2 linked regions of the Oryzias latipes genome follow. The protein of the gene in region 2 interacts with the protein of the main gene of each other region in a pairwise test. Links are inferred from orthologs where the notes say so. Each region holds a gene or a part of one and is shown on either strand. Other genes may lie near its edges. The genes, in order: ral guanine nucleotide dissociation stimulator-like 2 and ras-related protein O-Krev.

What was found.
Region 1: the proteins of ras-related protein O-Krev (region 2) and ral guanine nucleotide dissociation stimulator-like 2 interact in a two-hybrid assay, tested with the Homo sapiens proteins (2 studies listed by BioGRID and IntAct). The link is inferred for Oryzias latipes from reciprocal best matches to the Homo sapiens genes RAP1B and RGL2.

Annotation. Positions count from the first base shown.
Region 1 is NC_019874.2:28,736,199-28,753,169, forward strand, and holds the end of ral guanine nucleotide dissociation stimulator-like 2, read right to left. Parts: intron 16,678-16,971; coding exon 16,630-16,677; intron 15,914-16,629; coding exon 15,833-15,913; intron 15,755-15,832; coding exon 15,588-15,754; intron 13,460-15,587; coding exon 13,403-13,459; intron 12,873-13,402; coding exon 12,676-12,872; intron 11,840-12,675; coding exon 11,718-11,839; intron 11,472-11,717; coding exon 11,256-11,471; intron 9,256-11,255; coding exon 9,152-9,255; intron 8,108-9,151; coding exon 8,023-8,107; intron 6,229-8,022; coding exon 6,169-6,228; intron 4,406-6,168; coding exon 4,319-4,405; intron 4,244-4,318; coding exon 4,211-4,243; intron 4,083-4,210; coding exon 3,961-4,082; intron 3,883-3,960; coding exon 3,799-3,882; intron 3,350-3,798; coding exon 3,256-3,349; intron 3,183-3,255; coding exon 2,958-3,182; intron 2,760-2,957; coding exon 2,645-2,759; intron 1,896-2,644; coding exon 1,714-1,895; 3' UTR 634-1,713; downstream 1-633. UniProt on the Homo sapiens protein: Probable guanine nucleotide exchange factor. Putative effector of Ras and/or Rap. Associates with the GTP-bound form of Rap 1A and H-Ras in vitro.
Region 2 is NC_019865.2:21,756,395-21,772,675, reverse strand, and holds the end of ras-related protein O-Krev, read left to right. Parts: intron 1-8,106; coding exon 8,107-8,250; intron 8,251-8,675; coding exon 8,676-8,762; 3' UTR 8,763-8,791; intron 8,792-11,206; 3' UTR 11,207-11,914; downstream 11,915-16,281. UniProt on the Homo sapiens protein: GTP-binding protein that possesses intrinsic GTPase activity. Contributes to the polarizing activity of KRIT1 and CDH5 in the establishment and maintenance of correct endothelial cell polarity and vascular lumen.

The sequences.
Region 1 (16,971 bases), on a different chromosome or scaffold from region 2:
GGGATCAGTAGCACACACAGGATCCCTGGCAGCCTTCGAGAGGCTCTGGATGACGCTCTGGATCCTTTACCTGCTCAATGAGGCAGAAGGATCACTCCATCTCAGTCTGGATGTGTCACGAAGAACCAGTTCCTCTAAATGCACAAAACTCCCCAAAAATGGCATTCAGGGAGCGCGACAGTGTGCAGAGACGCAGACAGGAGGTTTATGGATGTCTCTATTACATGAAGAGGACTAATTTCACTCAGAGACACTCGGGACACTTTCCACAGAGGATAAAGGAGACAGCCAGCCATGAGGCGACAGCAGCGCTGTAATACTTTATGAATTTTTAATAAATGAGTGCAGCTCGCTCTCTCGCTGTCCTTTTATGCTTGTGTGACATTTCCATCCACATGAGTTCCATCTGACCTTGATTATGCTTGCAGATAAGGACGTCGGCTGTCTTTAGTCCAATAAAAAGACCAGAGAGATGCATTAGCTGTCATTGATGTCAAATATAATCAGCCTGCTTTAAAATGTCAGCATTCAGTTGACATTTAGAGACAATCTTAGTTGCTTTTTTTTTTTATATAAGGAAAACTGCCCCCTGAATTAAATGTTTGTTACGGCACATCATCCAAACCAACCAAGTTCATATGAAAGTAAATTTATTACCACAAAAATAGGACATCCTGTATGTAGTGCATAAATAGCATTGATGTCAAACAACAGCGCTGGAGGCGGCGGCATTTCCTCCACGTGTACATTCAGCACATGACAAAGGTGAGCACCCAAAGGAGGAAGGCACTAAAACAGTCAGTAGCAAGGCAAAGATCATCAGCATTACCCAGAATCCTCTCCCGGTCCTGCAAATGCCTGCGCTTCAGCCGATCGAGCGGCCTCATCAGCTCCAAGCGGGCTGACCTGGGGTCACAGGATTCGTCTGTTCGGGTTCAGATCTCACCCCGTGAAAATGGAGCTGAGGCTGATGGGAAATGGAGGCTTAGCTGATGCTCAGTTAACCCTTCAGGTGTAAAAAAAAAACATGTTTTGGGGGTTTAGCTGTGAGCTTAAAGCGAAGCCAAATATTTTAAAGTGCTTTTTCAAAGCTGCAATAATTCAATATTTCCTGCTAAACTTTCAACTTTTCAGTGTTTTATCACATCTTTTTAAATGTCTGACATCATCTACCGATAAATTTTTTTCTCTCTAAATTGTTGGACATGAAGCTTTTAAAGACAATTATGGTTTCAGGGGTGAAAAAAAAAATGCTTCACAGAGCAGCAGATTTGGTCAAATCCTTGGCGCCATTCTCCATCAAACAGTGATAAGAGCAGCCTTTAGCTGAGATGGAGGGTTAAAAGAATCCACTTTGTTTTTGCACTTATGCTTTTTTTTTTACTTGTCAACCAGGAAGCTGGAGCTCTCTGTCAGTGTAAACACAACACTGACGTCATACAGACATATAGAAATATATACAAAACATGACTCATCTGCATACAGCAGCGCTTTACTGCCACGCGGGAAACTCCAAGCTCCTCTCCGATCAGGAATTTGAAAAGCAAAACGAACAGGGATGTGGAAACCAGCACCTGCTTCCCACTGGGAAATAGTGGTGCATATTGTTCAGGAGCGCCGACTCAGCACACCGTCAAACCCCTTGTTTTTGGTGTTTTTGGCAGATTTATGTGTTCAATGAAAAACAATCTGTGGCTGAGGATGAAGCTTTCGTCAAAATAAGTTCCGGACCAGTCTCCGCCCCTTGGCCTTGATCCGAGGAAAGGTGGCGCTGGTCTCTGGGCTGATTGACGGCGAGCAAAAGGGACTGTTCCCACCTTTGCTTCTCAACAGGAAGTCAACGCTGGATGAGGACATGGCGTAGAAGACGTTTCCTGTGGGCGGGATGATGAGTTCTGAAAGCAGATGGTGTTGGCAGAAGTTTAGAGATTCTGTGTTTGTGAGGCAACTGGACCGAGATTCCCACAAACGATTCATCACAGCCAGTGATGAGATGCAGAACCGTGGGTCTAAAAGCACTTTTACCAGCTCAACTTGTTTTTTTCCTCTATTGCTCCTTGTGTTCTTTGGATGAGCCACGCCTGTGGAGAGTTAGTCCATCATTCCACACCTCTGTGGAATAATGTTCCTGTTCTCCATTTCCTGATCCCTCTGTGCATCTTCATGTTCCTGAACATTATTCACAATCTTTACCTGATTGGTCCAACATAACCTAAATGGTCATTTTTGTTTCTTTCTTTAAATATTCCAGAACTGTTGCTTCCCAAACGTGGTTTTATTTACCAGATTTAGTTCAGTTTATAGCCTGAGAATGTGATTTACTTTTGTGGTTCCTGACAGTGTCCTTTCACAGTTTTTAGTTCTTCTTTACAACATTTTTAGTTGTTGAAAGCTCCAAAAATAGACATTAGCTGATGTTTTTAAGTTTAATCTTTAGCTAAAATACTTAGGTTTTGTTAAAAGGAAACGAATCAACAAGAAATCAACAAATTACATTGTAAATTCGACTATGTGACACATTAATAACGACTTTAACCTAAACTGCCAAACATGCGTTTTTTTTGTTATGTTTATGTTAAAACCTTTTCTCTTAATTTAAATGAGACAAGCAGTTTATCTTGGGAGTTTGGTGATGTTTTTGTACCTTTTCCTTCAGGCAGGAGCTGGATCAGCTCGAATCTTGATGCCTGTTTGGGGTCCTGATTGTGCTTCTCTAAGGCAGAGCTGACCACAGTGGGGGTCTTGTCATTGCTGGTAACCTGAGGGAGGAAGAGGAGGAGGATAATGACAATGAGGCAGCTAGATGTGCTGTAATCACACACTGGCTTGGCGGTGTGATGCCAGCCTGATCCTGATGACCGTCATTAGCGCCCTCGCAGACAGGAGGAGCAGCTGCAAGTGCAGCGTGTGACGCATCATCCGGAATGACGGCGCTGCAGACCGTTTCGTTTTTTTACCAGAATGCTTCGGTACAAGTTTCCATCATGCAGCTCCATCCGAATCTTGATGATCCGTATCTCGGGCCCTGACCCCTGGACGCTGGCGATGGGAGTGGTGCCGCAGGAGGCGGATCTCCGGTGAGACTTTGTGGGGGTGGATGGAGTGAGGGAGGCGGGGGTGGAGTCATTAGTTGGAGGCGATGTGTCGACATCCAGACAGGATACAGAGGGAGACCTCATGTGCTGCAACAGAAACCACAGGAACCCTGCAGTTGTAGTCGTGCGAAACAGAGCCAACCGGGCTTTAGCGAGTTACCTTTGTGAGTTTGGAGAGGAGGTTATTGACCGGGGAGTGAAAGTCAAAGAAACCCTCGCCATCGCCAGACAGGCTGCCCCGGGACGTGCTCAAACTGAAAACACACCAACACTCATTAAAGTCGTTTGGCGAAGCCGAGACTCCTGCCTGCTGATGAGTCTGTGAGCCGCCAGCAGAGGGCAGCAGATCACTTTCTCTGCACCACAAGCATACCAGAAGAAAAAAGGAACGTGCCATGTTGAAGAGTGAATCAGTAAAAGGAGAAGTGGACACAAAGTGCACGTGAAACTCCAGCGCACGTGAAGGTTTCCTATGTGCAGAAGGCCCTTCATATTTCCTGATGGTTTGTTTGTCGATCCCAATAAAATGCAAAAATATTAATTTAAAGAAGACGCAGAAACTCATGTGGTTCAGGACGCGGTTTTGTGACTCATTAGCTTGAGCTCTGCCTGGTCGTCACTGTGGTGTCTTTCTAGAAACTGTGGTGTCACAGACACCCGGTGTCGGGTCGCATGTGCTGAGTGTGGGAGGGGCTCAACTTACTCTGGACACTGTGTGATGATGACAGCGGGGGCCAGGCAGCGGGGGCTCTGCTCCACAGGTTCGATTTCATTGGAAAGCCTGTAGCTGCAGTGACACAGAGCATTCAGAGGTTACATTCAGAGCGCTGAGGATTGGGTTCAGATGGGGGGCTGGGTGGGGTACCTCTGCTCCTCAGTGAGCGTGGGCACGCTGTGGTACCACTGCATGAAGGCCTCATCACTGACGAAGACACAGTTTTTGCAGGAAGACTGTAGGAGGCGGATCTGAGCTAAAACCTCAAACTCCTGTGAACAGAGAACTTTACTCAGCACGACAAAGCTCCTGGACCTTCATCAGTCCCTGCATACTCTTCCTCCGATCTGCTTTTTTTTTTTTTTTTGCACAGAAAGCATTGTGTGCATGCAACCCTCACCCTTCTCCTTTTGTCAAAGTTGATGTAGCCATTCTGCCAAAGGAGGAACAGGATGTTAGCTCATCTGAAAAGGTTAAAACCCAACCCTGCAGACAGAAGCGCACTCACATCCAGGCGGTCTTTGACGGCCGTGTCCAGCATGGTGAGGTCGGTCAGGAAGATTCCCAGGTATGGCACGGTGCCCTGAGCGTTGGACTGAGACACCAGGAGGAAAAAAAGTGTTGCATCTGTTTATTTACCAAGCCCCCCCCCAACCGCCCCACAAAGACAGAACTCCAGCCTGCAGCGGTTTTTCAGGAAAATGGCACTGTGCTCCACTTTACTGCTGCATCGATTTCACCCATTAAACCGCCGATCACTTGTTATTCCACTGTCTGCACTCTCCTGACCTTCCAACCGCTCTTTTAATTCCCCACCTTTGTCCCAGAAGAAGAAAACTTTTAAAATATGAATACATATATTCCCATTTGTTGTTCAGATTCGTTATTTTTGATGTACAGAGGTTTTGATTTTTTTTTTCAAAAAACATTTTTATCAGATGACCTTTAGAGACCGTTCCTTTCCATTTATCCACATGTCAATGAAACCCTGATGTTTTACTCCTTAATTGGAATATGGTCAAAAACTCAGCTTTTGTAACACTTTGATCTGCTGCTTCCCTGTCAGAACTTTTCTGGCTTGAAAGAGCAAAGAAAACAGCCGCTACTCTGTGACCAGTTTAGTAACAAATAACTGATGCTCTGCAGGTCATGTGAGCAAACCGAGAAGCTCCACAAACGCAGAACCTTTTTTTATTTGGTCCCAAACGTGATCAGCTCTCTGAGACTTCTCGAAAAGTTTCTAAAAAAGAATTGACACAAAAATAAAATAAATGAACCTTGTTGCCGAATTCCTGGTACGACTTTAAAAAAGTTCAAATAAGACACAAAATTGCCAGTGTCTGACTTTTTCTAAGCAAAATACTGATGTGATGTAAACCACAAACAAACCAATGTTATAATGCAGAAATACAGTATTTATAAATGTGTTTTGTTAAAGTTCCTTTTTTATTATTAATATTTATATTTGATGCAAATATATGTAAATATCTAGATTTTTCCTTTTTTTTTTACTCTAAAATTTGTTAATCCAAAAATTGCACAAGAGGGAGATAAACAAGTTTTCTTCTTTCTGTTCCCTGTCATTTTTCTTCTATTAGAACTTGTGCTAGATCTGTTCTTTTTGTTGTTTTGTGGAAATGAAAAAAAAAGAAAAAATTGAATCGAATTTAAAAAAAAGTTTCTATTTTTGAGCAGGAAATCTGTCCGCTGGAACATTTTAAACTTCTCAAATGCACTCTCTGTTCTGCAGTACCGTCAATGATGCCGGCATCCTCACATGTGGAGGAACCGGCTCCTCCGTGACACTGAACACGCGTGTGCACGTGCATCCACAGCAGCCTCTGTTCACAAACACGACTCCAGAACGCAGCCGCTTCATCACCGATTCGCCTGCTGCCTCTCAGCCTTTTAGTCAGCAATTAGAGTTTCTGTCACACCCTCTACTCAATTCAGTAAAGACACGCTTCCAATGAATCCTGTCTGCTTGTCTTTACACATCAAAAACAGGAAAACCTGAAAGAAAAGCTAATCATAGATCTTGTTCTGCACACCTTGAACTCAAAGTCTGCCCTTAAACTTTTACAACAAAGCGGCTGGTGCCTTTTCAGGCTCTTACATCATTTCTGAATCTTTCCAAGCTGTCATGAATGCCTGTGGGGGTGAAACTCCACCCCCAGGCTAAAACACTTCATATTCATGCCAGACACCAGCAGGAAACTTCAAGACGTCATTTCACTCTTTCATGTTTCTGAACATGAGACGACGTTTGGGTCTATGATAAACAATAACCAGGAGGTCGTATTAAGTTGATGTCTGTTGTAGAAGGTCAGGCTGAAGCAGAACCTCAGCAGCTCTTACCCGGGTAACGTGTCTGTTGTTAAGCCTGTTGTCAAGATTGGCGAACTTCGATGTTCCCTCCTGAAAGACACACAATAAAAGTGGAACATGTTTGATCTGATCTCAAGATCTCCATCAGTGCTTTTTGGTTCTGATTTAAGAGCAAGAAGCTCTGTTAATGCAGATAAAAAAAGACAGAAGAAGGAAAAACACATTTGCTGCAACATTTCAACCCGCCCCACCTGGTCAGTGATATTCATAGTCACACATTCACTGCGAGAGCAGAACTGCAGATTTAAACTACGTCTCTTGGCTGGCCTGGGACTGGGAACGTTTTGCCCCCCCCCCCCCCCCCCCCCCCAAAAAAAAAAAAAGGAGCTGGAGGAAGTGGCTGGGGAGAGGGAAGTCTGGGCAGCTTTACTGAGACTGAGACCCGGTCCGGATGAGCGGAAGAAGATGGATAGATGGATGGGTGAGTGTGTAAATGTGTATGTTTTGTTTCTTGAGTGTGTGCTTGTGTGTATGTGCTAGTGTTTAGGTGTGCATGGACGTGTGTGTTTGTGCGTACATAAGTGTGTATGTGGGTGTGTATGTTAGTGTGTATATGTGTGGATGTAAGTGTCTTTAGAAGTGTGTGGATAAGTACATTTGTGCGTATGTGAGTGTGTTTAGGTGTGTGTGGACGTGTGTGTTTGTGTGTACTGTATGTAAATGTGCAGAGGTCAGTAAATGCATCACACCGTCGATCATTTTTGTCTCTTTTTCCTCTTAACTGACCTCAGACACCCCCCATATTCTACAGATTTGATCACACAAAGTTTTTTTTAGTCAAGTTTTGTTCTTTTTTTACATCCCAAAGGATCCGGTTCATAACTGTCTGCCACTTTAAAAAAAAAAAGCTCAGACATGAAAGATGTAGCAGAGAAATCAAAGCTCCACCCAAAAGCTGTGGACTTTTTCAGAAGAAAAGACAGTAAACGTTTGCATGGACTCTTCTGGGGGGGGTGAAACTTCACCACCACAGCTAATCAAACTAACCGTAGCAGCTTCCCAAAGTCAGAGCAGACTAAATATAGCGTTTCTTCAAACGGACGTCTGGCGGAAGTGAAAGTGCTGACAGAATCGGAGCATCAGCTGTTTTCTGCTCTTTAAAGCCCTTTAACGCACCGACCGGATTCCTGATCAAGCAGCTGAGGTCTTAAATGACTCCGACTGCAGGTGAGATGATCATGCTGTCAGAACCTGATCAGATGTTCCTGCAGGGAAAGGCTTTGGAGGAGATTTGGGGTCTAAAGCTTCAGTCAGGACTGACAAATGAGGAAAACAGAACGTCCGCAGGAAGACTTCTGTTGACTTAGTTGAGTCCTTGGCTTTCCCTGCAGCGGCTTTGCAACGTTTACTGGCAAACATAGTGGGAGACGGTTGTCTGCCGGTTTCCCACGTGGACTTGACCACAAGTTATGCGAGTTAAAACCCAAAACACGAATCTGCAGCTTATCAGGAGAAAGCATCTCTGAGGCCTGTTGAAGCCCTGCAGGGGGCACACGAGCTGCCAACAGCTGCAGAGACGTCAGAAAACAAAAGAGCTTTTGAAACCCGACTCCCAAACACGGTCAGGGTGCTCAAACTGGCAGCTTTCCCCTCCCAGCAGAGGCTCTGAATGACTTCACCCGCCGTCCCATAACAGGAGATGCACAAACACCATCATGGACGCCTGGCATCAAACCTCAAGCACGTGAGCTCCGCTTTCCGAGTGAACCAGCTCACCTCTGAACGCCCCGTGACCTCGTGACGTCGCCCCACGTCCGCTCACCTCACCCGGAAAACACAAAGCCCTATTCATTCCGCTCCTTCCTTATCTGCAGCACAGCTCACCTCCTTCAGCAGCTCCCGCGTCTGTGAGTAGTTGTCCTTGTCGGAGAAAATCTCTGCCAGCTCCTCGTATCTCCTCAAGGCCTCTCTGTGAAGGAAAAGGTCAAGGGTTCAATTAGATTCCCGCTTCGTTTAGATGTACAGATGACGTAAAGGCGATCTGCACCAGGAGAAATGAAAAGTACAATAGCAAGGATCAATCTATCACACTTTCACATGGAAAAAAAGGACGGAAAACTTTTGTTATAACTCCTTCTGTCATTAAATACTTTTAACTTTGAATTATTTTTAGTCCATTTTAAAATCGGATTTTTGACACATTTGAAATTTTCCTCTAATACATTAATAAAACCCCTTTTCAATTCATTTTTAACAGTTTGACCTTATTTAATTTAAAATAAAAACATTAAAAAGTACATTTTTATTTGCATTTCTTTTATTTGTTTAATTTTTACGAAAGTATTTCTACTTTTTCCAGCCGAAATGATGCAATGTCACTGCATGTGCAAACTAATATATTATAACCATTAATCACTAGAAAAATATACTTTTAAATAACCCAGTTTAACTTATTTGAAATTTAACTGAGATATTAAAAGGACATTTATCTGTAGCTTAAGTTACTGTAAGAAGTAACACAATAATAAGACTGAATAACACAATGTTTCTTAAAGTTCATCAGTAAATGTAAAATATTATTAATTTTACCTTCTTCTATTTGATCCATTTATGATTTTAATCTTTTATTTTAAAAGTTATCTTGCTGTATTTTCAGAATAAAAGACTTGGCAGATCTTAAAATGGAATTAAAAGAACCTTAGATTATTGTTTTATGGAATTGTTTTCATTAATTTTGAACCAAATCAACCCATGACTCTGAAGTTGGGAAGAAAAACAAAGTCCTCCCCATTCTGAAACAGCTGTTGGAAGTGTTTCAGCTTTAAACATTTAAAGGGAATTTGGCTAACATGCAAACTGAGGCCTGAAGAATGAGAGAAAAAGCTCAATTTCCAAGTGGACCGCCCTGTCCTAACATCTCGCTGCAGAGCTATTGATCATCAGTTTCTCGCTTTTTCATTTGTTAGATTAGTCTGCTTCTGCCTCTCTGACTTGACAGAACTACGTCCCACACCTGTCGGTGTCGTGCCACGTTCTCCTCAGCCGGTGGATGGGGTTACTCTTCAGCGCCGAAACGACGGCGTACAGCGAGGAGAAGTTCTTCCTGGCTCTGCACTCCTGTTGGAAGCACAAACACACGCATGAACAGGCGTTTGCATGAACAAACACAGACGCTCCTTCCTCTGTTGGATGAGGATGGAATGGCGAGGAAACCAATGAGAAACCAGCAGTGAGCCAACAAACCACAGTTTGACCAGAGATACCCTGCAGACAGAAACCCAGAGTCTGTGTGTGTGTTTGCACTGTCATCGCTCTGACATAACGCCGAAAGCTGAGCCAAACACTTTGTTTGCACACAGCTCGTATATCATAAATGCCCCTTAGAGTTAGAGTTCCCTTAGTGTGACTACAGATCGGGAAACATGGAATGAAAACATCTTTTGTGTGCCAGAAAGGGAGTTCAATTCCCACAAAATTTCCCATGAAAAGAAAAAAGGAAAATAAAAAAACAAAATGAAAAGTTTTACACATTTAAAGAAGGAGAACCTAAATAAGTACACCTTCTTTCCCCAGCCCATCATAAATAATGAATTAATAGAGTTTCATTCCATAGAAAAAGTATTTCAAACACACAAGGGATTTTTCAGCGTAAAAGTCTATTTATGGTCATAAAGTCCCACTTCGATCATCTTTTGATCTGTTTTCAAAGCGTTCCCAATGGTCTTTTCATTATGGTTATGAAGTTTTTTGCCAAAATATAAGGAAATTAAATTGTCGCTTTCCAGGACATAGTTTCTGCAGAGCAGCAAGAGCTCATTAGAAATTAATCTCTGAGTTGTGGACGATACTGTTGGCGTGAAGTTAGCCCTGCCCCCCCCTTTCTATTACCCATCTGTTTAGATGCTCTACCACTAGCTCACAGCACCTCACACCCCCAACATAACATCAGGGGTGCAACAAAAATGGCGAGCAACATTGGAACCATCCAATTTTGAGCCCGATTCTCCCAAAATCTTTAGGTAGTTTGAATCAGAAGTGAACTTTCTTTTGCGTTTGTACCGTTGTGCTCTTGAGCAAATGAACTCAGGGAGACTTTCCCCTTTAGAAATGTTTTCCATCATTTCAAGCCATCCCTCGCCATCACACTGCCATTGCCGTGCCTGACTGTTGTCCTGAAGTTCTTTTGTTTTGTTAGTGTGACCGTAGATGTCTGGGGATTCACTCCTTCCATTAAATTCCTTAGCAGAACATCAGTCCAGATGTTTCTCTGTCTTCTCGCTGCTCGCCAGTGTTACTTCTTGAACTCTTCCATTGATCCATGTTTGTCCAAGTCTCTTTCCGACTGTTGAATCGTGAACTCTGATCTTAAAACTTGCACATGACTTGGCTGGTCTCAAGTTTTAAATATTGTTCCTGAGAGTCTAAAAACATCCCAAACGTGATTCCAGCTTCTCCATTTGGTTCAGGTCTCAAAACTTCACTTTTAGGTCACTGGAATTTTGAATTTAGTCAAATATGTGAACACCAAACCTTTCACAGAGCTGTCACTCATATTCTGATCCGTCACAAGTTTGCAAAAGAGGAAGAAATGTGACACAACTCTTCGGAGGGAGGGGCTTACAACCTCTGCAAATGAATTGTGACTGATTGGCGACGAAAGTGAGAATCCTTATGCAAATTTTTACTCTACACTTTGTTGAGAGTCTGCGGTGAATTTGAAATGTGACTCCAAATAGAAACCTTTGTTACTGTTTTGGCTGGATGGCTCTAATATTGCTCGCCATTTTTGTCGCACCAATAATGTTAGTTTGGGGTTGTGAGGAGCTGTAAGCTAGCAGGAGAGCATGAAAACAGAGAGCTTTCAGCAGCAGGAAGGGTAAAGGGGGGCGGGGTTGCTATGGGCCAACAGTCCAACCCCCAACTCAGAGGTGAGTTTCCAATCAACTCCTGTCCGTCTGCAGAAACTGTGTCCGAGAAAACGACAAAGGTTTCAGATTTTGGCTGAAAAAACGGCATAATCATAATTAAAAGACACTTTAAAAATATTTGTGTATCATTAAAATGTTAATGATCACTTTATGCAAGTATGAAATCATGGAGGGTGCCATTCCACTGACCTCTGCCACGCCGATCCACTTCTCCAGCAGCCGCGCCCTCTGCTGGCTGCGCAGCGTTGTGGGCCAAAGACAGGAGGCTAAAACGGCGTTAGCCAGCTTGTTGAATTGACGCACGGTGGCCCGGACGGACCAACAAACGCCCTCTCTGCCCTTCTTGTCCCGCTGAGACCACAGAGAGCCGAGACAGTGGTACGGGACCAGACGGACAAACAGCTCCTGAAAAACATGGACACTTCCTGTCAGCGCAGATTAGACGTCCTTTCCAAAAAGATCTAAGGTCCCGAGCCGTCAAAGAGAAATATGGACTAGGTGTAGAGAAATTAAAAATAGAACATTTCCTAAAGTTTACTGCATCATCTGAGGCTGAAAAGCCTTCAGAATGTTTGACTGTTAACATCTAACTTTTTAAGAAACCTTTAATAGTTGCAGCAAGAAGAAACCATACTGTTAACCTGAACTGACCGTTTCTATCTTGGTGAGCTGCTCGGCGATGAGCGACGAAGGAAACCCCAGGATGCTGGTGGGTTCAAACAAGGACGGGTTGGGAGGGGGGCTGTCGAAACTGGACCGATCTGCAAACAAAGCTGCTGCTCAGTGAGGACATGAATCTGTTGTTTCAGAGCAATTCAAGAGACAAGTTAGCCGGAGATTTGCATCATTTTAAAAGTGGATTTGTCATTTCCACTAAGAATGAGTCTTTTTATTCCTGTTCCATTGAAAAGCCACCATTTGAGTCCTTCTCTTTTTCCAATTTGAATTAAATTTAACATTTTAATAGCTTTATAAATACATTGAAATGCATGCTTTATCGCTTTAAAAAAAATGATATTATATGTTTTAATGTTTTATGAGAAACAAGAAAAGTGTGTTTTCATCACCTAGCCTACCATCTATTTTGACCTTACTGAAAGTTTAATTAAGAATACCAACCAACACTATTTTAAAAAGTCAGTACATTGTATATCAATCTAGAGCTCCTTTTTCCTTGCAAAATGGTAATAAGGTCACTGTTGAATATTAGAATTTTGCTGCAGAAGATCAGCAAAAACAGGAAGGTAAGCTGCAGCCGTGAACAGACAAATGTCGTTGGGCTGAATAATTCCAGAGGATCTGCAGCTTGTTGTTAGCAGGATTAGGGCGTGTCCAAACATCACGCCATCGACGCTGCAGCAGCAAACCTCGCTGGCTCCAAGCTGCACCTCCAACATTTTTAGTCAAACATCTCCAGCTTTGATCCGGTCATGCTAGTTAAACATTTTGACTCCAGAAATGTGAAGATAAACATTAAACCCCCCAAAAATTTGCCATTTTCTTTTCTTTGATATTATGCACTGAGTGTAAGTATCTGTTTTTTTATGCATTAGCAGCTCATTTGTTCAGAATTCAACAACTAATATAATATTCAACTAATATTCCAAACCTCTGCGGGAGTCGAGGAGCAGGGCTTTCTCGCTGAGCTCCTCTGCGATCCTCAGGAGCTGGGCACGGAGGTCAGCTGCAGATGATGAGTCCTGAGGGAGGAGTGGAGCCAAGCGGAGCAGACAGGTGGGATTTCCCAGACTGTGGAAGTCTTCAGGATACTCGGACAGCCACGTCCTGAAGACGGTGCACACCGCTCTGCAGAGGAACACAGAGCATGCAGACTGACTGACTTCCATAAACCGAACCCTTCCAAGCCATCAAGTAAGAGAGGAAACTATAGGGATGCATCATCCAAAGTTTGTGGGGCTTTTCAAAATAAATGTCTCAAACGTTTTAATAATACTTTGCATCTTACAACACTTTGACAGCAGGGAAAGATTAGAAAATAAGCACAGAAAAGAACTTTTAATAAAAAGTAGAGAGAATTGTATATAAATAAATCATATCAATATAAAAAAAAAGGAAATTCTGTGATTAAAACACTTAAAAAATAAGAAAATAAATATGATAAAGTATTAGAAGAAAATGAAGCAACTTGCTGCATGAACTAAAGCTGCTGCAGCCTGACTGCATCCAATGCAAGCAGGAAGTTAGGATTCACATTTAAATGTGTAAAATTGGGCTTTATTTAAAGTTAAAAAAACAAGAAGTAGAGCGACCTTCAGAGCTACACATATTTAAAAATAGAGTGAAGTCAAAAGAAAAAACGTTTTGCAGAAACTCACTTGTTGAAAGCCTGTCTGATGTGGCTTCGCTCGCTGTCGCCGGGTGGATTCTCTAATCTGGAAGCAACAGAAAAATATTTAAATGAACTTTTAAGTAAAGCTCATTTATAAAAAAGTAGAGCATGTAAACAGAGAGCTCTCAGCTATATCAGCACAAACAGTTGCGCCCACAACTCAGAGGTGAATTTCTATTGAACTCCTGCTGCTCTGCAGAAACCTTGACCAAGAAATGACAGGTTTTTTGATTTTGGCTAAAAACAGCATCATCATGATTAAATGACCGACAGATATCGAAAGGTTATTTATTAAAAGAGAGGAAAAATACAATTTTAGGGAAAAAAATTAATTTCTCATACATAAAGCACGTACAAATAAAAAAAAGATTTTGTGTTTCAGTTTGTGAAGTTGTGGAACAGAGCCAGTAAATACTTGAAACAATTTCGAAACATAAAAGAATTTAAGTATAAATACAGAAATATGATCATTGACAAAAATGTACAAATACCGTATTTTCCGGACTATAAGTCGCACCGGCCCAAAAATGCATTATAAAGTAGAAAAAAACACAGATAAGTCGCACTGGACTATAAGTCGCATTTTGACGGGAAATTTATTTGACAAAATCTGAGACCAAGAACTAATAAGTTCCACAACCTCATATGACACAATCATAGCAGACTGTTTATCTCATAATTTCACAGTAATTCTTTCTCATATTTATTTATTCCTTTCATGAAGCATCATTGGCCAACTAATACTCTGTTTTCATCCTGTATTTGTAGAAACAGTTGTCATTTTTATTGCATTTCTGAATCTATGAAATCATTGGATTATCATCCAATCATTAGCCTTCAAGATCTTACTGTAAAAAAAGGTTTGCTGATTCTCTGAGTCACTTAACACACTCTTAACACTTAACATACCTCATACATCAAATTGACCCAGGAACATCATCTCTGTTACTCACAAATGAACATAACAGGAGGGTTAACGATGTATTTATTTCAATTTATTTCTAATATAAGTCGCTGCGGAGTATAAGTCGCACCCCTTGCCAAACTATGAAAAAAAGGGCGACTTATAGTCCGGAAAATACGGTACAAAACAATACAGAACATCAGCCTTTGTAAATCTGCATACTTAGAAAATACGTTTTGTATTTTTCTGGAAATAAGAATTACATTTGCAGCTGTAACCGAATATACACTTGGGTAAGGCGCTGGACTTTGATGGTAGGTGTACTGGGTTTAGTTAGGAATGTAAGGACTTAAAGTAAAGGGGGTGAGAGTTTATAAGATTTTTCTTCTTCTCACTCCCTTTTGGACTTGTGTTGTTCATATAATTTTGTCTTATATCATTTTTGTCGTGTTTTTGTCTTATTTTGTTATTCTACACTTGTTTTCACTTGTCCAAAATAAAAAGGTTACTTACATACTTACTTAGTTAAAGAGTACCGGAAGCACTCTGGTTATAGATAAAAAGATGACCAGAGTGCGACTTTAAAAGGTTTCTTAAGAAGTTGTTTACTTAATCAAAGTACTTCAAACTGAAGACGTGGAATTTGTGATGCAGTGTTAATGTGACCTAGATGACCTCCATGATGGAGAATCTTCAGAGGAACTTTATGAACCTTTTTACATTTAAATTGTACTATTTTACTCCAAACGTAATACTATCTTTTTTAGTGTTTATTTCATTTCTATTCTTTGTTGATTACAAAAGCAAAACAACATTTTTGCAATTCCAACCATCAGTCCAGCAGAACATGTTTTCATGATTCCAGCTATGCTTTCAAGTCTTATTTCACATTTATTAATATGTTTTTATCTTACAGTGATAAATTATGGTCTCAGTGTTTGTGACCCTGGAGTGTCTAAATTCTTCTTTTAACTCTAAACGGAAAAAGTCCTTAAAGTATCTGATAAGAACTGTCTGAATTCAATAAACTGTTAAAAGAGGATCCTTTTTTCAACTCACATTAGTCAAATAAAACTGATGTTTTTTAAGTTAAGCACTTAGATTTTATTTGATAAGGAATATTTCCCTGCCATTTAAAGTGGTTTCTTGTGGTCTTTGGAAAGTTTTGTGTGACATTTATCTTAAAAATAACAATTTGTGCAAATTTATGGTTTTAGGTCTTCAGCACCGACGGATCCTGTCGTCTGAAAGTTAGTTGGTCAGTCACCTGTCAGTGAGGATGCCCAGCACTCGCTCGGTGGAGGTGAAGGATCGGTATGTGGAGAGGAAGATGGTGATGTAGGAGGAGTCCCCCAGCGAAAACGAGTGGAGGAGGTGGAGCACCAGCTTCTCCTCCGTCCCCGCTTTCACGCACTGAGAACGAAAAACGGCCGGCTGAAAGACGACGGGAGATCTGCTCAAAGGGTCCTTTCTAATCCCTTTTTATGTGAAGCTTTGGGCAGAAACACTTACTGTCGGACCGTGGGGGACACCGTGCTGTTTGACCACCACTGTGTAGATCACGCCGTCATCCTCTTCCTCTGCAACTGTGGACTAAAGCAGAGGAAACGTAAGCTCCTTGTGCTTTGCACACAAGATAGACTTCACAAAAGCTTCTGGAAAACATTTTGGGATAACAATTTTCTCCATGTATTATTTGGTTCTTTCATCCCGTCCTGTTCTCCAAACCCGGGAGGTCTGTGAAGCATCAGATAACACAGGTGGTGACATTTTTTCAAGTGACAAACTTCAAAATGAATCGGTATTTTTCCAACTTAAGCTTTTTAGTGAAAACATTAACAAAACAAAAAAAGACAAACATGCGTCTTTGTAACGTTTTAATGCAAACTTTGACGTGGAACAAACAGTCGCAAAGGACACAGAGACGAGAAACACAGAAGATCCGACTAAATTCAGAGTTGTGCTGAAGTGAGGTTATATTTTCTGCTTTAATAAAATCTTTGCGGTCATCTCCATGTGACAGAACCTTTAGACGACTCCTGATTTCTGTGTAATGACTTTTACTCTGCATGGAAAAGATTATTTTTGGGGGGGGTTATTTGCATTTTCTTGTCTTCACAAGCACAGAGCTGAGTTTTTCCGATCACGTTGCTTTTCTGAACACCTGTCAGTGCTCTCACACCTCGAGGTTTGTGCTCCCACACGCTACAAATGTTAGGTTTTAACCTCAGGCCGAGTCCCCGACACCGTGACCTCATTCTTCACAGCTAATTGGCTCACAGTGCATGCAACTGCCTGCAGGCTCTTACCAAATCGAGGGGACAGTACCAGGTGGTCTTCATCGGTGACAGCTCTGCCTGAAGAAGAGACACGACATGGATCGAAGCGGGTTTTTACAGAATTCACTGAAACATAATAAGGAGCTATACGACAGCCCAAATATCCTTTGATTGAGACGTTTCTGATCGTTAACACTCAGCTGCTTTTGATCAAAACAAAATTAAGACTCAAAGAAGCTCAATTATTTGCATGCAGAATGCAACCACAAAAAGATCAAACATGCAAAGCAGAATAAAGTGAACGTAAAAAACAAAGTGCAATTTTCCTTCCAAAAGTCTGCTGTGACGTTGCCAGAATCAGGACTAAAGTCA
Region 2 (16,281 bases):
CTACAAACATGACCTCACAGCTTAGATCTTGTGCAAATTAGCACATATGACAGAAGAGTTTTTCCTGGAGATTTGCTGCAAGTAGGGCTGTCCGATTGAACAATAATATGTATCGCAATGAAACCTTTTTTCAATAGAAGAATGAGTCTATTGCCATGGACTTTTATTTTGAAGCGTCTGAAATTAACACTCGCCAGTTGCGAGCATTTTCTCTCCATTGGCAAGTAAAAGTTAGAGGGTTAGCCGCCAGACGGCGAGTAAAAACGTTTGCGTAAACTTAGTCATGTTAGTTTTCTCTTCTGTTGGTGAATTTCTTTTGTCCTTTTCAGGCTGTTTTTATGTGATGATTTTATATAAAGTCTGATCACCTGGAAGTAGAATGAGGAACTCTCTAAATCTGTTCTTGTTTTCCCAGTATATTTGAATTTGAGTTTACAGTTAGATGGCAGTAAAGACGTGTTCATACCATTTATAAATTACTTTATGCATTTTCATTCGTCAAAAAAAAAAATCTGAAAAAAGTACAAAAAGTTATTTAAAAAAAAAACGAAGGTATTTCTGTGTAAAACGGTGTTATAATTTCGTTGTTACAGAATATGTTTAGCCAGTAGATGGTTTGTTTATTTACTTATTTGTTAATCTACTACCTAAAACGACAAAGGTAAGACCTGCGCTGCAGCTACAGTCTAAACTATGAGAAGAAATTCTGAGAATTTGCTTGTAGTTCCTAGCTTATTCACAGGATGTTGTGTGAAGAAACTGGATTTTCTAGAAAGGACTGTAAAATAGGAATATTTTTAGGTTCGTTACCCCATCAGTTTCTTGCACACAGAAATAATGAATAATGACTCAGAGACAAAACTTAGCTTTTGTGGAGGTTTTACTTCGCCCAAACACGAAGGGGACAGACATATGAACATGGTACATTCAAAGTCCGAACCAACGAGCTCAGGGATGGGCTTTGGTATAAAAACCCTGCATTTGCATATTCAGAAGATCGTCCGATGGGCCTCGTGTGAAAATAACGCCCACAGGTTACTGCTGGAGGGAAGCTCCAAGGCTAAAGTGAAGATAAGTCTGAGGCCTGCTCAGCAGAAAACATGCACAGAAAAGAGGGAGTATGGGAAGAAACTGTTAGAACAATAGTTTGGCTGTGCTTTCTTCAAATGTAATATAATTTTGAGATGACAATACATGCTCAGTGAATTAAGTTTAAACCATTAGTGTAATAAAAGTTAAAGGCAGTTTCTAACTATTCTTCACATACCCCCCTGTTTGTCATATTAAAATTATACATGGATAGTCAGCAGAACTCCTGTCATCATCAACCATACACCATTTCACGAAGATTTTCAGTATAGGCAGCATATCGGCTCTGCATCGAAAACAAAAATGTAGAGGTACATGTAAATACAAAAGAAAACATAAAATCAACGTGAATAAATGAGCATATCAGAGGTGGTAGGTGATACATGAGTGTTGATGCGAAAACCTCCAGGGCTAAACTTATACCGTCTGTGTGAAACATTCAGTGAGCAGTCAGGGAGGGCAAAACTCATCAACGGCTCTGTGCCCCTCAGCAGCCATCACTAGGGATACACATGCATCACCAGTCCAGACCTCGGCACAAAATTATTAATTAAAGTTACATAGAACAAGAAACATAATAAGAAATAAAGAAAATAAACAAATTGAAATCGAACAAAAGAAAAACAATAAAATAAATCTGTAAAGACCAGTTTCAACCACGAGCGGATGCGAATTAGGTTAAGTGTTGGCATAATGCTGATAGAGTTGGCCTGACAGCGATAATTCATTTGACACATGGAATCCAACAGGTGACGAAAAGAAAAAAAGAAAAACAACACACAGAGGACCGGAGTGACTAGTTTTATCAGTACACTCCACCAGAAGTAAACCAATAAAGTGGGGACCCAGACCAGTAGGCGTCAGTCATCTGAGAAGAAATTTGTGATTTAAGGGCCTTGACCTCGCTGATGATGTGAATGAGATCTCCAGAAGAAGAGGGAATAAAAGTACAAGATGAAACCACGAGGAACAGCTGGACCCATGTTAGCTGGTTCGAAGCTCACTGTAGCTGGAAGAGAGCAGCGCTAGAGGAAACACACCAGGGAGCTCCCCTCGCCATGAGTGGTGTCACACTGGGGCGGCTTCGTAGTTGGACTTCAACCAGGGATGTGTCTCAAAATGTCAGTCTCATAGGCTCTCAGCAATTTACAGTGGCTTACGGGAATCCAGGAGGGTCGTTCAGCAAAGTGTACTGTAGGTGGCATGGTGAGGAGAACCTTGTAGGGGCCCGTCCACCTCGGGTGTGACCAATCAGTCCGTTGAATGGCCTTCGAGTAAAGCAGGTCACCGACAGGGGTCTTCTGGTCAGGATGCAGAGTCTGTGGGGAGGAGAGAGCTGGAGGCAGACTCAATGCGTTCCTTTGTTCTCACAGCTTTCTTCAAATACTCATGTAAATCATCAATGGTGTCAGTAGAGCCAGGCATGAGAGTAGAAAAAAAAAAAAAAAATCAGGAAAAAAATAAAATAAATAAAATAAAATAAATAAAAATCAAAAAAATAAAAATTGTGAAAAAAACACATTGAAAGTGAAACAGACAAGAACTGCGTCTCATTTCAACAGTAGCATGAACAGGCCGATAACAGTTTGACTAATGGTAATGCTTGGACGGAAGGGAGTGGAGCATACTGCATGTGATTCTGGAGAATTCGCACAAGAGAATCACAGGTGACATTGTTTCAACTATCAGCCGCGCAAGCAGCTGCAGCTTACAGCGAGTGAGTAAAGGTGGGGGCTGATCAGATAAGGTGGTGAGGTCCGGGGAGAGAAATAATTTTGCTAGAAACAGAAACTAAATGTCCCGAAAATTTTAACTTGTGCTTGGGCCAGCTGGAGTTTAGTCTTACCGCACTTATTCCCCTGAGAGTTGAAACTTAGAACGATTAGCAGACATGTCCATTAAAAAAAACGTAAGGCGAGTTAGTGAACCAGAGACCCTCAGGAATGCTTTTAAGGGGTCAATCCTGATTTACAAGCAGAAATGCAGGGACCTGATTAGTGGGGTCAGAAGGCTGCAATCAAACTTTTTATGAGCAGGGGAGAGTGAACTAAAAAAAAAAAAAAAAGGAAGGCTGCACCAGCCGTCCGAGTCTGATCATGTTTATACAAGAGGGAGGTCTGTCCTCCACAAAATGATCCACATCTGCTTTGTAAGAAATGATACTTTCTATTGCTTTTTCTGAACATCTACCCTAGTCCATGTCCTAAACACTAAAATACCCCCAAAAAACATACTAAAACACGTCCTATCATTATTCGGAGAGCAGAGAAAGCTTTTATATCTGCTTACAATGGAGAAATCACCCCTCCTTTCTGCGAGTCCTCATCAGCCTGTCTGCAGGCTCGGGCACGCGCACTCTGATCTGTGAAGCTGTCCCCCCCTCCTTCTGCTCTGTCCTGCACTCTGAGGCTGCTTAACTTTCTATCAAATCCATAATCTTTAAACCATTTATCCAAATACTTGATTTATGTCTGATCCTGACTTCCCACATACTTCCAAACTTTATGAAAAGTTTTCTGGACCTGATCAATGTGCTTTTTTTCTTTTTAGTGAGATTTTGTGAATGAGTCCCACCCATGTTTTCTAGGGTTATGAATGACGATCAGCCACAACGTTCTCAGGAATTCATAGACCACACCAGGCTTCTACAAGAGCTAAATCCCTTGCGGATGTGGCTGTCCTGAGAACCAGCTTCTCAATTTCAATCACAAACCAGAGCTCCCACCCAAGTAACCCTTTTTATGGATCCTCCAGCGCTGAATCTAATCAGCAGAAAAAGCTTGGAGAATCAGAAAAGAAGCCTAATTATTTGTCAACTGAGTCACCATATTCATTATGCATTTATTTAGAATAAGATATGAATCAAAGCCATCATGAGGCATTAATCAAAGCGAGCATACACCACAGAAGCCGTCGCAGAAAGCAGACACAGACAAGACATAAAAAACGTTACACACACATGAATTCCCCGGAGCTCCGTTTGTTCCCAAATGCCGTGCACGACGCGCCTTAACCGAATCTGTCCCTAAGCCGTCCACACAGCCGACAGCACGTTTCAACCGATTCTGTCCCTACGTCGGGACACACAGCTTCCGACGGGTTTCAACCTAATCTATCCCTACGTCGGGGACACACAGCTTCCGACGGGTTTCAACCGAATCTATCCCTACGTCGGGGACACACAGCTTCCGACGGGTTTCAACCGAATCTATCTCTACGTCGGGGACACACAGCTTCCGACGGGTTTCAACCGAATCTATCCCTACGTCGGGGACACACAGCTTCCGACGGGTTTCAACCGAATCTATCTCTACGTCGGGGACACACAGCTTCCGACGGGTTTCAACCTAATCTATCCCTACGTCGGGGACACACAGCTTCCGACGGGTTTCAACCGAATCTATCCCTACGTCGGGGACACACAGCTTCCGACGGGTTTCAACCGAATCTATCTCTACGTCGGGGACACACAGCTTCCGACGGGTTTCAACCTAATCTATCCCTACGTCGGGGACACACAGCTTCCGACGGGTTTCAACCTAATCTATCCCTACGTCGGGGACACACAGCTTCCGACGGGTTTCAACCGAATCTATCCCTACGTCGGGGACACACAGCTTCCGACGGGTTTTTCTCTTACGCTACACACTTCTCCCTGTCATCTCCCGTGAAGGAGGACACATGCACCCGCAGCAGGCTGACTGCAGGCGCTCCTGTGGTCAGCGTGCACGCGCAGCACTGTGACTGCACACGGCTCTCTCTGTTCTTCCCCAAGAGATGAGGCACCCACACACAAGACACAGACACAGTCAACATAAAACCCTAACAAGTAAAGAGAGGACAGACTTTCTGTGTGGCGTACTCACTTCAAGCAATGAACGTCGCTATTTGATGAGGGTCCGACGTCACCGGGGGCACCACCGGACCCAAGGGCGAGGGCCGCCGATCCTGAAGGCGGATTGGTCAATGCTGAGGCTGTGATCTCAGACCGCTAGCGGTTTTCAGGCAACCCCCCCCAGGGGTTCCAGCGATGTCCAGGGCGCGCGCCGGCCGGCTCAGAAGGACCAAATGTGAAGAAACTGGATTTTCTAGAAAGGACTGTAAAATAGGAATATTTTTAGGTTCGTTACCCCATCAGTTTCTTGCACACAGAAATAATGAATAATGACTCAGAGACAAAACTTAGCTTTTGTGGAGGTTTTACTTCGCCCAAACACGAAGGGGACAGACATATGAACATGGTACATTCAAAGTCCGAACCAACGAGCTCAGGGATGGGCTTTGGTATAAAAACCCTGCATTTGCATATTCAGAAGATCGTCCGATGGGCCTCGTGTGAAAATAACGCCCACAGGTTACTGCTGGAGGGAAGCTCCAAGGCTAAAGTGAAGATAAGTCTGAGGCCTGCTCAGCAGAAAACATGCACAGAAAAGAGGGAGTATGGGAAGAAACTGTTAGAACAATAGTTTGGCTGTGCTTTCTTCAAATGTAATATAATTTTGAGATGACAATACATGCTCAGTGAATTAAGTTTAAACCATTAGTGTAATAAAAGTTAAAGGCAGTTTCTAACTATTCTTCACATGTTGACAAAAAGGTTTGACAATTTTATGTTTGTTCTGTACAACTAGAAAACATTTTAATTAATCTGTAGAATTAATGCTTCGTTTTTCAGTGAATTTGTTATGTTTAAAGGATGATGAGTAATAAATATTTAAATCCAAACAACCTGCTGATGATGACACATTTATCTTGTGAGCAGAGTGTACAAATTTGACATATATACTATATAGTTATTTGGATTATATCGTAATATATATTGTTATCCCCTTCTATAATAAATTATATTGTGACATAAAAACATTGCATATCACCCAGCCTTAGATGCAAGTTATGGATGTTGTTGTAAAACTTTAATTGGAGATTAGTGTGTTATTAGCTGGTGAAGCTTTTTCATAATCATTGTCATTGATAAAACACTCTGTAGGATGCATGGACTGAAGGGGTCTGTTGTTTTTTGAATGATATTTACAGCAGCAGAATGCAGCTTCGGATCAAAGCAGATGGTCAGATATCCAGAGAATACAGTGGGGCGAAAAAGTCTTTAGTCAGCCAGCAATTGGTTTGGGAGTGGTTTTCAGCAAAGGGACCAGGACGACTGATCCATGTGAAGGAAAGAATGAATGGGACCATACATCGTCAGATTTTGAGTGAAAACCTCCTTCCATCAGCAAGGGGATTGGAGAGGAAATGTGGCTGGGTCTTTCGGCATTACAACAATCACAAACACACTGCCCAGGTACCGAAGGAGTGGCTTTGTAAGAAGCATTTCAAGGACCAGGAGTGGCCTAGCCAGTCTCCAGATCTTAACCCCATAGAAAATCTTTGGAGGGAGTTTAAAATCCATGTTGCCCAGCAACAGCCCCAAAACATCACTGCTCTAGAGGAGATCTGCATGGAGGAATGGGCCAAAATACTGGCAACAGTTTGTGAAAAACTCGTGAAGACTTAGAGAAAATGTTTGACTGCTGTCATTTCCAAAAAAGGGTATACAACAAAGTATAGAGTTGAACTTTTGTTATTGATGAAATACTTAGTAATTTTCCACCATGTCATTTTCTGTTTGATTTTCTTCTTTTGTCTCATAGTTGAGGTATATACCAATGATAGGCCTGAGCGAAAAATCAATTGAATGAATTAATTCGAATTTTTTGTTACAGGCAATTTAAAAAATAACTAAATCGAGTTTTTGTGTTATGGCGCATTTTTGGCTCCCCAGAGCTTCGGTAGCGTTAGTTTCACACAGCGGTATGGCAAGCGACAAACAACAACATCATAGCACACACGAAAAAGCTAGCGACAACATGGCTACCGGTGAGAGTGGGAAGTTTGTTCCCAAGAAAGGAATAAAATCATTTGTTGATTGGAACTGGTATGGGTTTGCTGCCACAGACGTGGAGGAAGAGACCCCACGCTGCAACATTTGCCTAAAGCTCATTGCAGTCAAAGGCAGCAGCACCACAAACCTATTCCAACACCTGGGGGGGAACCTTTTACTGTTTTCCTTCACTCCGCGGCTCCTGCTGCTTCATCAGCGCTGTGATCAAAAATCCCACACCATCACAGCTCTAGTTTATATTTTTTGGGACACAAAAAAAAGCAACTTCTCCAGTACTGATAGCAGAACCGTTAAGGTCAGATCTTTTGGATACTGCGGTCTTGAAGAATGTTGAACCGGGACTCTTTCAATACCGGGGCTCGGTACTGAAGAACAATCACCGAAGCGGTCGCTTTGCATATAGCCAAAGACATGGTACCCATATATACGGTGGAGAAGACGGGGTTTATTCATTTGATTAAAACCTTAGACCCCAGATATGAGCTGTATTGTTAATCCTTTAGAAAGCGGTGCTACTCTCAAGGTGAATGTTTGTCTCCTTTTAGTCAAAACTACAAAGTGTGGCTTAAAACACAGCTGGGACTTTGATTCCAAGAGTGCATTCATTTATTTATTATTCATCCCAGAAATAGGGGTTACATTTGTCTTGCGTTTGATTAAATAAAAGCAAAATTTGCTTTAAGTTGTCTGCCGTTTGTACTTATTGCTTTCTTTAAGTGGGGGGGGGGTTTGAAATCAAATTAAAACAAATAAAATCGGAGATTTTTGGGCCATATCGCCCAGCCCTAACCTATGATGAAATTTAAATGCCTTTCTCATCTTTTAAAATAGAACTTCCACAATTGGTGGCTGACTAAATACTTTTTTTTGCCCCACTGTACATACCAAGAATCAATATGTTCATTTCATAGCAATGAGCATTTCCTCTTTTGTGTGACATCAGACCTCAACTGTTCAGTCATTTTGTAAATCCTGGCTGCAAATGTCAAACCAATTGACTTAAGCTTATTTTTTGAAGCACCATATTTACTTTGAATTCTGCCAAACCAATTTTTGAAAGCTATTATGTGGCTAAAAAAAATCCTGCTTTTAATTGAACATTTCCTCCTCTTGATCAGGTTCCCATGATCCTGGTGGGGAACAAGTGTGATCTGGAAGATGAGCGCGTAGTTGGAAAGGAGCAGGGGCAGAATCTGGCCCGTCAGTGGAACAACTGTGCCTTTTTAGAGACTTCAGCTAAATCAAAGATCAACGTTAATGAGGTGAGTGTCATGTGTTCATGGAGCAGCTCTGTTGGAAAACCAATTCTCACATCTGATTTCATTCAGATTTCAGTACTTTTGCCATGTGACAGCGATTTGCTGTTATTTATGCTGTTTCCTGTAAACAATAAATGTTACAATAAATGAGCCCAGTCCTCATCTGATGTCAAAATTCTGATTTGGTTTACTGAAAATTATAATAAAAAATCAAGCACTGGATTTCCTCCAAACCACCTAATCTGACTCCTGAGCCTCCCCCGGATGGTGCAGCTCAGCATCCTGGTTCCTCTATAGACCCACTCGCCTAATGCCTTTTAGCTGCAGCTGGAGCTTTTTAAAGCATTAGCACAAAGCTTTCCATATGTGGAGCTCTTCTCTTGGGGAACGTGCAGCTGATGTGAAATGTTCACATCCCTCTGTTGCAGATTTTTTATGATCTGGTGCGACAGATCAACAGAAAATCGCCGCCTGAAAAGAAGACAAAAAAGAAGTCTGGCTGCACGCTGCTCTAAGACTGCCACCCACAGTTGCTCCAGGCCAGGTGAGTGACGGAGTGGGTGTTAAATGTATTGTAGACATTTGCTGAGCTGCAGCTGCTCTCTGAGCTGCAGGTGGTCAGTGAAGGTTGAAGTCTGTGCTGGAAATAATCATTTTCTGGATTTCATGTTAAAAATCTAATCCTGAAGCTGTTTGACTGTTTTGATTGTAAAGTTTAAAAAAACACCAAAAAAAAGTCTACGCCAGTTTTGATGTGGTTTAATGAGGACGAGGAAATGTAGAGGTTAACGAAAATGAACATCATTGCCTGAAGATTTGTCTTTTTTGTTGGTATGAAAAATCTGACGCCACCTGCAGTTGATGTGTGCAACTACAGTTTCTCATGTTAGTGGTCACTGAAACCACTTTAAAAAGCCTTTAGTATAAATGAAAATGAAAAAAACCAAGGTTGCTGTCCTTGCTTTGGTTATACAAATACAGCCCTTATCGTCCTGCCTACCAGAGAAAAAGTTTGGCCCTTTTTTTTTCACCAAAAACTACAATTCCCAGAGCTCCACTCCTTCACGTTTGTTTTACTGAAAAGCCCAAAATGTCCTCTGTAGATCCTATAAGGAGTTAATTCCATAGTGTGCAGTGGTGGGGAGAAATTTAGGTTTAGAAATGACCACTACAGAGAACAAATTTGCAATTCCTGTAGTCAGGAGGATATGATTTATAAACAGAACAATAAGGCTACGTTCACACTGCAGGGTTTAATGCTCAATTCCGATTTTTTGTAAAAGTCCAATTTTTTTGCAAGGCCGTTAACATTTCCAATTAAATGCAAATTTTTTATGATCTCCTGTGTGAAATGACCCAGAAGTGACCCGCATGCGCAGAAAAGTACTCAATGGTGAACGACATCACTCATTGTTTGTGGAAGTAGCTAACGTTAACAATGGAATTTCAACAACAGTGTTATCAACAGCGGAGCTCTTTTTGCATTGTTACATTTATTTTCACAAAGGAGCCAGCACAATTACAATCTTCTCATTTTAAGAAGGCATTGGAGCCGGGATCGTCTGTATCCACTGTTGTGGAAAGGGGATGTGTATGTGCTTGGGGCTGCACGCATGTGTGTGTGTGTGTGTGTGTGTGTAAGAGACAGGACAGAGCGCGTGCAGCGAGGTAGAGAATGAGGGGGGCAGTGGCGGCGCGCATTCATGTTGTATGTTAAAGGAGGAAGGAGAACGAGAATTAAAGGTTTCCCCCAGAATAAATGCTATTGACTCTTTCTTAACCCGCTCTGGAGAATCTGAGGGTCCGAACGGGGAAGTGAACCCTGAAGGAGGATCCGCCTTCTGTCCCCCACGCTTCTGACCACGGTCAGAAAGGGAGAAGAAGGAAAAAAAGTCATCGCGGGGAAGGTTCAACACCACGCTCGGCCATTTCGCTGGAAATTTTTTCAAAAACCGCCCGGTTGCGATATGAGCCCTTGAGTTTGGCCTGAATAGAGCTGTCACCCCAAATATTAATCCAATCGGTGACCTTGCTTCCTTCCATCCTGACTGGTCTCAGCAGCATCGTCCGCCATGGTTGATGTTTATGTTCTTGTTCCCGCCTACTTCAACGCAGAATTATGACGTTTGTAGCATATCGATGACGTGCGGTCGGATTCATGTTGCCTGGCCGTTCAGACGGAGGTCGCATTTCAAAAGATCTGATGCGTATCGGATTCAGGACCACATACCCAAGTAGCCTGGGTCACATTTGAAAAGATCGGATCTGTGTCGTTCAGACTGTCATGAAAAGATCAGATGCAGGTCGCATAGCGGCAAAAAAATCAGAATTGGGTCGTTTCAGCCTGCACTGTGAACGCAGCCTTAAACTGTTATAAGAAAGAAAACACACAATTTGTCAATAAATATCCTGTTGGCTTTTATTTCTTAAAAGATTCTAAATGTTGGGGGAACACGATCTCTCATACAATCCACAGGTCATTAATACCAAAAATGCTTTTATTTTCTTAATGTAGTAACATAAATTCTCATCTATCTAAAATGATGCAAAGCTTGAATTTTGTTTTTTTATTTTAAAACCTTAATGAGTCCATTTGGGTACATTTTAAGCACAACTGTCATTAAAAACCAAATTCTAATCAACAAATTCCTGAAGAAAAGTTTATTCCAATTTTATACATGTAAAATAAACATCCTCTTGATGATTTAGAGTATATTTATTATTGAAAACAATCATTTGAGGGATAAATTAGAAATTTACTTTTAGATAATCTGTAATTCGGCTCACAAAATACAAAAATACTGTCATCTTCCTATTACTTGATGACAATTGAGCTGAAATGACATGTAAATGTATCAGTGGTTTTCATTTTAAAATGTTTTAAACTCCACCCAAACTGTGCTGTAGTCATTGTTGTGTTCATTCCTAACAAACTGCTGCATTCTTGTGAAACCTGCAGAAACAAGTGATGATTTACTGTTTCCCAGTGGATGGTGCCAGCATTCCAAGTCCTCGCCAGAGCAATTTGAAACAGGCCGACGGAAACTTTACCACTCGCAAGACACGGCACATACTCTTTAAGAACCTCTCTGCTTTTTAATGACAAAGAAATTTGTACAGTCGGCTTGGTGACAACAGTTTTTCATTTCTGTTCTTATCTTTTGTTTGTTCTTATCCAAGGTGTCTTTCTTCTGGAAAACGTCTCATGTGAAAACATAGACTGTGGATTTCAATCCACGTATGGGAACTAAAATGTTTTATTCAAAGTAATATCAGTCTTTGACAATATGTTTCTGAAAAGGATCCTGTGTAAAAGCTTGGTCTTCTTGTACATTTCTGCACTAACTGTGTCACCGAAGACGAGTCATTAACTATACTTTACTGGTTCCTCCTTACAAGGATGTGCATAGATAACATCTTTCCTAAGTGACTTTGTTTTATAATGACAGCTGCAAGCCTTCCATATTTCCCCATAATATATTGTTCTTCCACTTTTGCATAATAAAGTTAAGGAAATTTGTATTTTATAGACCGATGGGGGCAACGGGTGTTCTGATTTGTCTTGAGGATGGAATTGTACTTAACAACCTCTAATATTGCTTGTTGTTGCTGTGTCACAAATTTTTCCAGCTTTTATGAATGATTAAATTTTAGTACGTTTTCATTATCTCCTTTGTCTGTTGTGACATTATTGATGGGGTCTTTTAAGTGCTTGTCAGTTGACGTCTCAGAAAGTAATGCCAAATAAAATAAAAAATCTCACTCCACAGCTTTAATTGAAACCAGCATAAACTGAAACAAGATCCTGGAGTTTGAGCAGAAGATGGGAACAAAAGAAGAAAGCAAAGTTGATGAGTTGGAATGTGAAACAATGATCATTTCTAATGAAGAACAAAAGAACTTGTTCTTTAAATATAAACAACCCTAAAATAGCAAACTCGTTTACCCATAAAGCATCAGTGTGCACATTTAGAGTCCCACTCTGGTCATATTTGAAACTATTTTTAAGCGTTTCCAGTGGTCTTTTAATTATGACTGACATTTTTATTACGATGGAAGACAAAACAATTTAAGATTAAAACTGAGTATTTTATTTAAGCTCTGATTGCTCAGGAGCAGACAATAGCCTGCTGTTTAAAAAAGCTCTGTTGTGATGCAGCAAGTGAAATGGGTGAGTCCCTGCTTCGCTCCATTCTGATGCATCCTCTTTCTCTTTCTCTCTCAAAAGTTTGGACACCTCATTCAAAGAGTTTTCTTTATTTTCATGAAAATAACGGCATAAAAACTATGAACACGTGGAATTATATACATAAAGTGTGAAACAACTGAAAATGTCATATTCTAGGTTCTTCAAAGTAGCCACCTTTTGCTTTGATTACTGCTTTGTACACTCTTGACATTCTCTTGATGAACTTAAAGAGGTAGTCACCTGAAATGGTCTTCACTTTACAGGTGTGCCCTGTCAGGTTTAAGAAGTGAAGAAAGAAGAAAAAAAGCAGCTAAGTACAGAAAAACCAGTGGCCATCATTACTTTAAGAAATGAAGGTCAGTCAGTCCGAAAAATTGGGAAAACTTTGAAAGTGTCCTCAAGTGCAGTCACAAAAACCATCAAGCGCTACAAAGAAACCGGCTCACATGCGGACCGCCCCAGGAAAGGAAGACCTATTTGCCAATGAGCCTTCTGCACCTGTCCACAGGTATTTTGGCCCACTCCTCATCAGCAAACTGCTCCAGTTGTCTCAGGTTTGATGGGTGTCTTCTCCAAAGGGCATGTTTCAGCTCCTTCCACAGATGTTCAATGGGATTCAGATCAGGGCTCATAGAAGGCCACTTCAGAATAGTCCAACGCTTTTCTCTCAGCCATTCTTGGGGGTTTTTGGCTGTGTGTTTTGGATCGTTGTCCTGTTGGAAGACCCATGACCTGCAACTGAGACCAAGCTTTCTGACACTAGGCAGCACATTTTTATCCAGAATGCCTTGATAACCTTGAGATTTCATTTTACCTTGCACAACTTCAAGACACCCTGTGCCAGATGCAGCAGAGCAGCCCCAAAACAGAACTGAGCTTCCGCCATGTTTCACAGTAGGGACGAAGTTCTTTTCATTGTATGCTTCATTTTTGAGTCTACGAACATAGAGCTGATGTGCCTTACCAAAAGCTCCAGTTTTGTCTCATCTGTCCAAAGGATATTTTCCCAGAAGCTTCGTGGCTTGTCAACATGCATTTTTGCAAATTCCAGTCTGGCTTTTCTATGATTTCCTTTCAACAGTGGTGTCCTCCTTGGTCGTCTCCCATGAAATCCTTTCTGGCTCAAACAATGACGCATGGTGCGATCTGACACTGATGTACCTTGATCTAGGAGTTCACCTTTAATGTCTTTGGAGGTTGTTCTGGGCTCTTTGGATACAGTTCCAACTATCCGTCTCCTCAAATTGTCATCAATTTTCCTCTTCCGGCCACGTCCAGGGAGGTTGGCTACTGTCGGTTGGCTATTATTTCTCAGTCTTTTATGGAGGTACCGTCATTTTTGTCCAGCCCTATTTCATTAGTTTGTTTTTATAACCCTTGTGGTATCCTAGGCACTTTAACATTGGGAGTTGGGTCATCTAGACCCACTAGACACCGTGCTGAACCTATTTTCTTCAATGATTTGTGATCTTCACTGGTGACCATGGATTACATGAAATCTTTCCACCTTTGTCCACCTTTGTCATGGTAGGAATAACACGTCAATGTAAGGATGGGGTCATCTAAGATAGCACTAAGGGTTAAATAATTCTGTTAATCAAGAACTCAAAAGTAATGGCTGATTTTGATTATTTAATGTTCAATAAATTTTAATTTAGTATTAATTTTGAACATTTCAAGTAATTTAAGTGAGCATTGTGGACTTTCTTTCTTTAACTGAGGGGCACCAACAATTTTGTCCACCACTGTATATACAGTACAGACCAAAGTTTTGGACGCCTTCACATTCTGAAGAGGGCCAGAGCTCCTCCGCCCATCATGCAGACCTTCTACAGGGGCGCCATCGAGAGCATCCTGACCAGCTGCATCACCGTGTGGTACGGAGCCTGCACTGTGTCCTGCCGGAAGACTCTGCAGCACATTGTGAAAACAGCTGAGAAGATCGTTGGTGTCCCTCTTACTGGCCTCTCGGACGTTTACCGCTCCCGCCTCACCCGCAAAGCCATCAGGATTGCAAGGGACCCCTCACACCCATCCCAGAGACACTTCAACCTGCTGCCATCAGGGAGGAGACTGCAAAGTCTGCAAGCCAGAACCAGCAGACTAAAAGACAGTTTCCTCCATCAGGCAATAAGGACACTCAACTCTGTCCCTGCCCTCCCCCCTCTGGCCCCTCCACTCCATCCTACAAGCTCACATTGAAAACTTCACACCATTTCAGAACACATCATAACCAAAGACTGCCACCACTGACTCATCCACTTACCGTTCTCAGCACTGATGTCACTTTAAACTGCCACTTTAACCATGCCACTGTTCTTAGCACTGTTTAGACTACTGTTATTCCTCTTACTATTACTGTCTTTTTATCTATTTTTTAAGTCGTTTATTTATTATTTTATATGCTGCTTGCACTGTGGGGTGAGAGAAAAGCAATTTCATCTGTGCTGTATGTCTTATGGATGCAGCATATTTGACAATAAAGCTGACTTTGACTTTGACATTCAAAGGGTTTTCTTTAATTTTATGACTATGAAAATTGTAGATCCACACTGAAGGTATCAAAACTATGAATTAACACATGTGGAATTATATACATAACAAAAAAGTGTGAAAAAACTGAAAATATGTCGTATTCTAAGTTCTTTAAAGTAGCCACCTTATATATATATATATATATATATATATATATATATATATATATATATATATATATATATATATATATATATATATATATATATATAGGCTCAGATCTACCACACCAGACAAGACCCAAGGTGTAGGCTGTGCAAAGAGGCGCCTGAAACAATCCAGCACATAACTGCAGGGTGTAAGATGCTGGCAGGGAAAGCATACATGGAGCGCCACAATCAAGTGGCTGGAATAATATACAGGAACATGTGTGCAGAATATGAACTGGAAACCCCAAGATCAAAATGGGAAACACCTCCGAAGGTGGTAGAGAATGAGAGGGCAAAGATCCTGTGGGACTTCCAGATCCAGACTGATAGGATGGTAATGGCGAACCAACCAGACATTGTTGTGGTGGATAAAGAACAGAGGAAAGCCGTTGTGGTGGATGTGGCAGTGCCAAGCGATGGGAACATCAAGAAGAAGGAACATGAGAAACTGGAGAAATACCAGGGACTCAGAGAAGAACTGGAGAAAGCCTGGAAAGTGAAGGTGACAGTGGTGCCTGTGGTAATTGGAGCACTCGGGGCAGTAACACCCAAGCTGGAGGAGTGGCTACAACAGATACCTGGAAAGACCTCAGACCTCTCAGTCCAGAAGAGCGCAGTGCTAGGAACAGCTAAGAGACTGCGCAGGACCCTCAAGCTCCCAGGCCTCTGGTATAGGACCCGAGCTTGGAGGAGAAACCACCCACAGAGGGTGAGAGGGGCGTTTTTATATATATATATATATATATATATATATATATATATATATATATATATATATATATATATATATATATATATATATATATATATATATATATATATATATATATATATATATATATATATATATATATACATATAAACATATAGACATATACACATAAAATCCGTAATGCAATTTTAAGTTTATGTACATCAACTTTAAACAATTAACTTTAAACAATATCTCAAACCCTCCCAGACTGCAATGTCCCATTCAACCCTCTTGCTATTTTAGATATTTCAGCAGTTCCAGATCGACTCATGACGATGATGGTTATAGACGTATTAATAAATCCATCTAATGCGGAGATGCTGCAGACTAAATACTCCAAAATGTTCTACGTTCATTGGTTTGAAACTTCTAAGTTAGGATGATGTTCCCTTCAGCGAGCAGAGGGC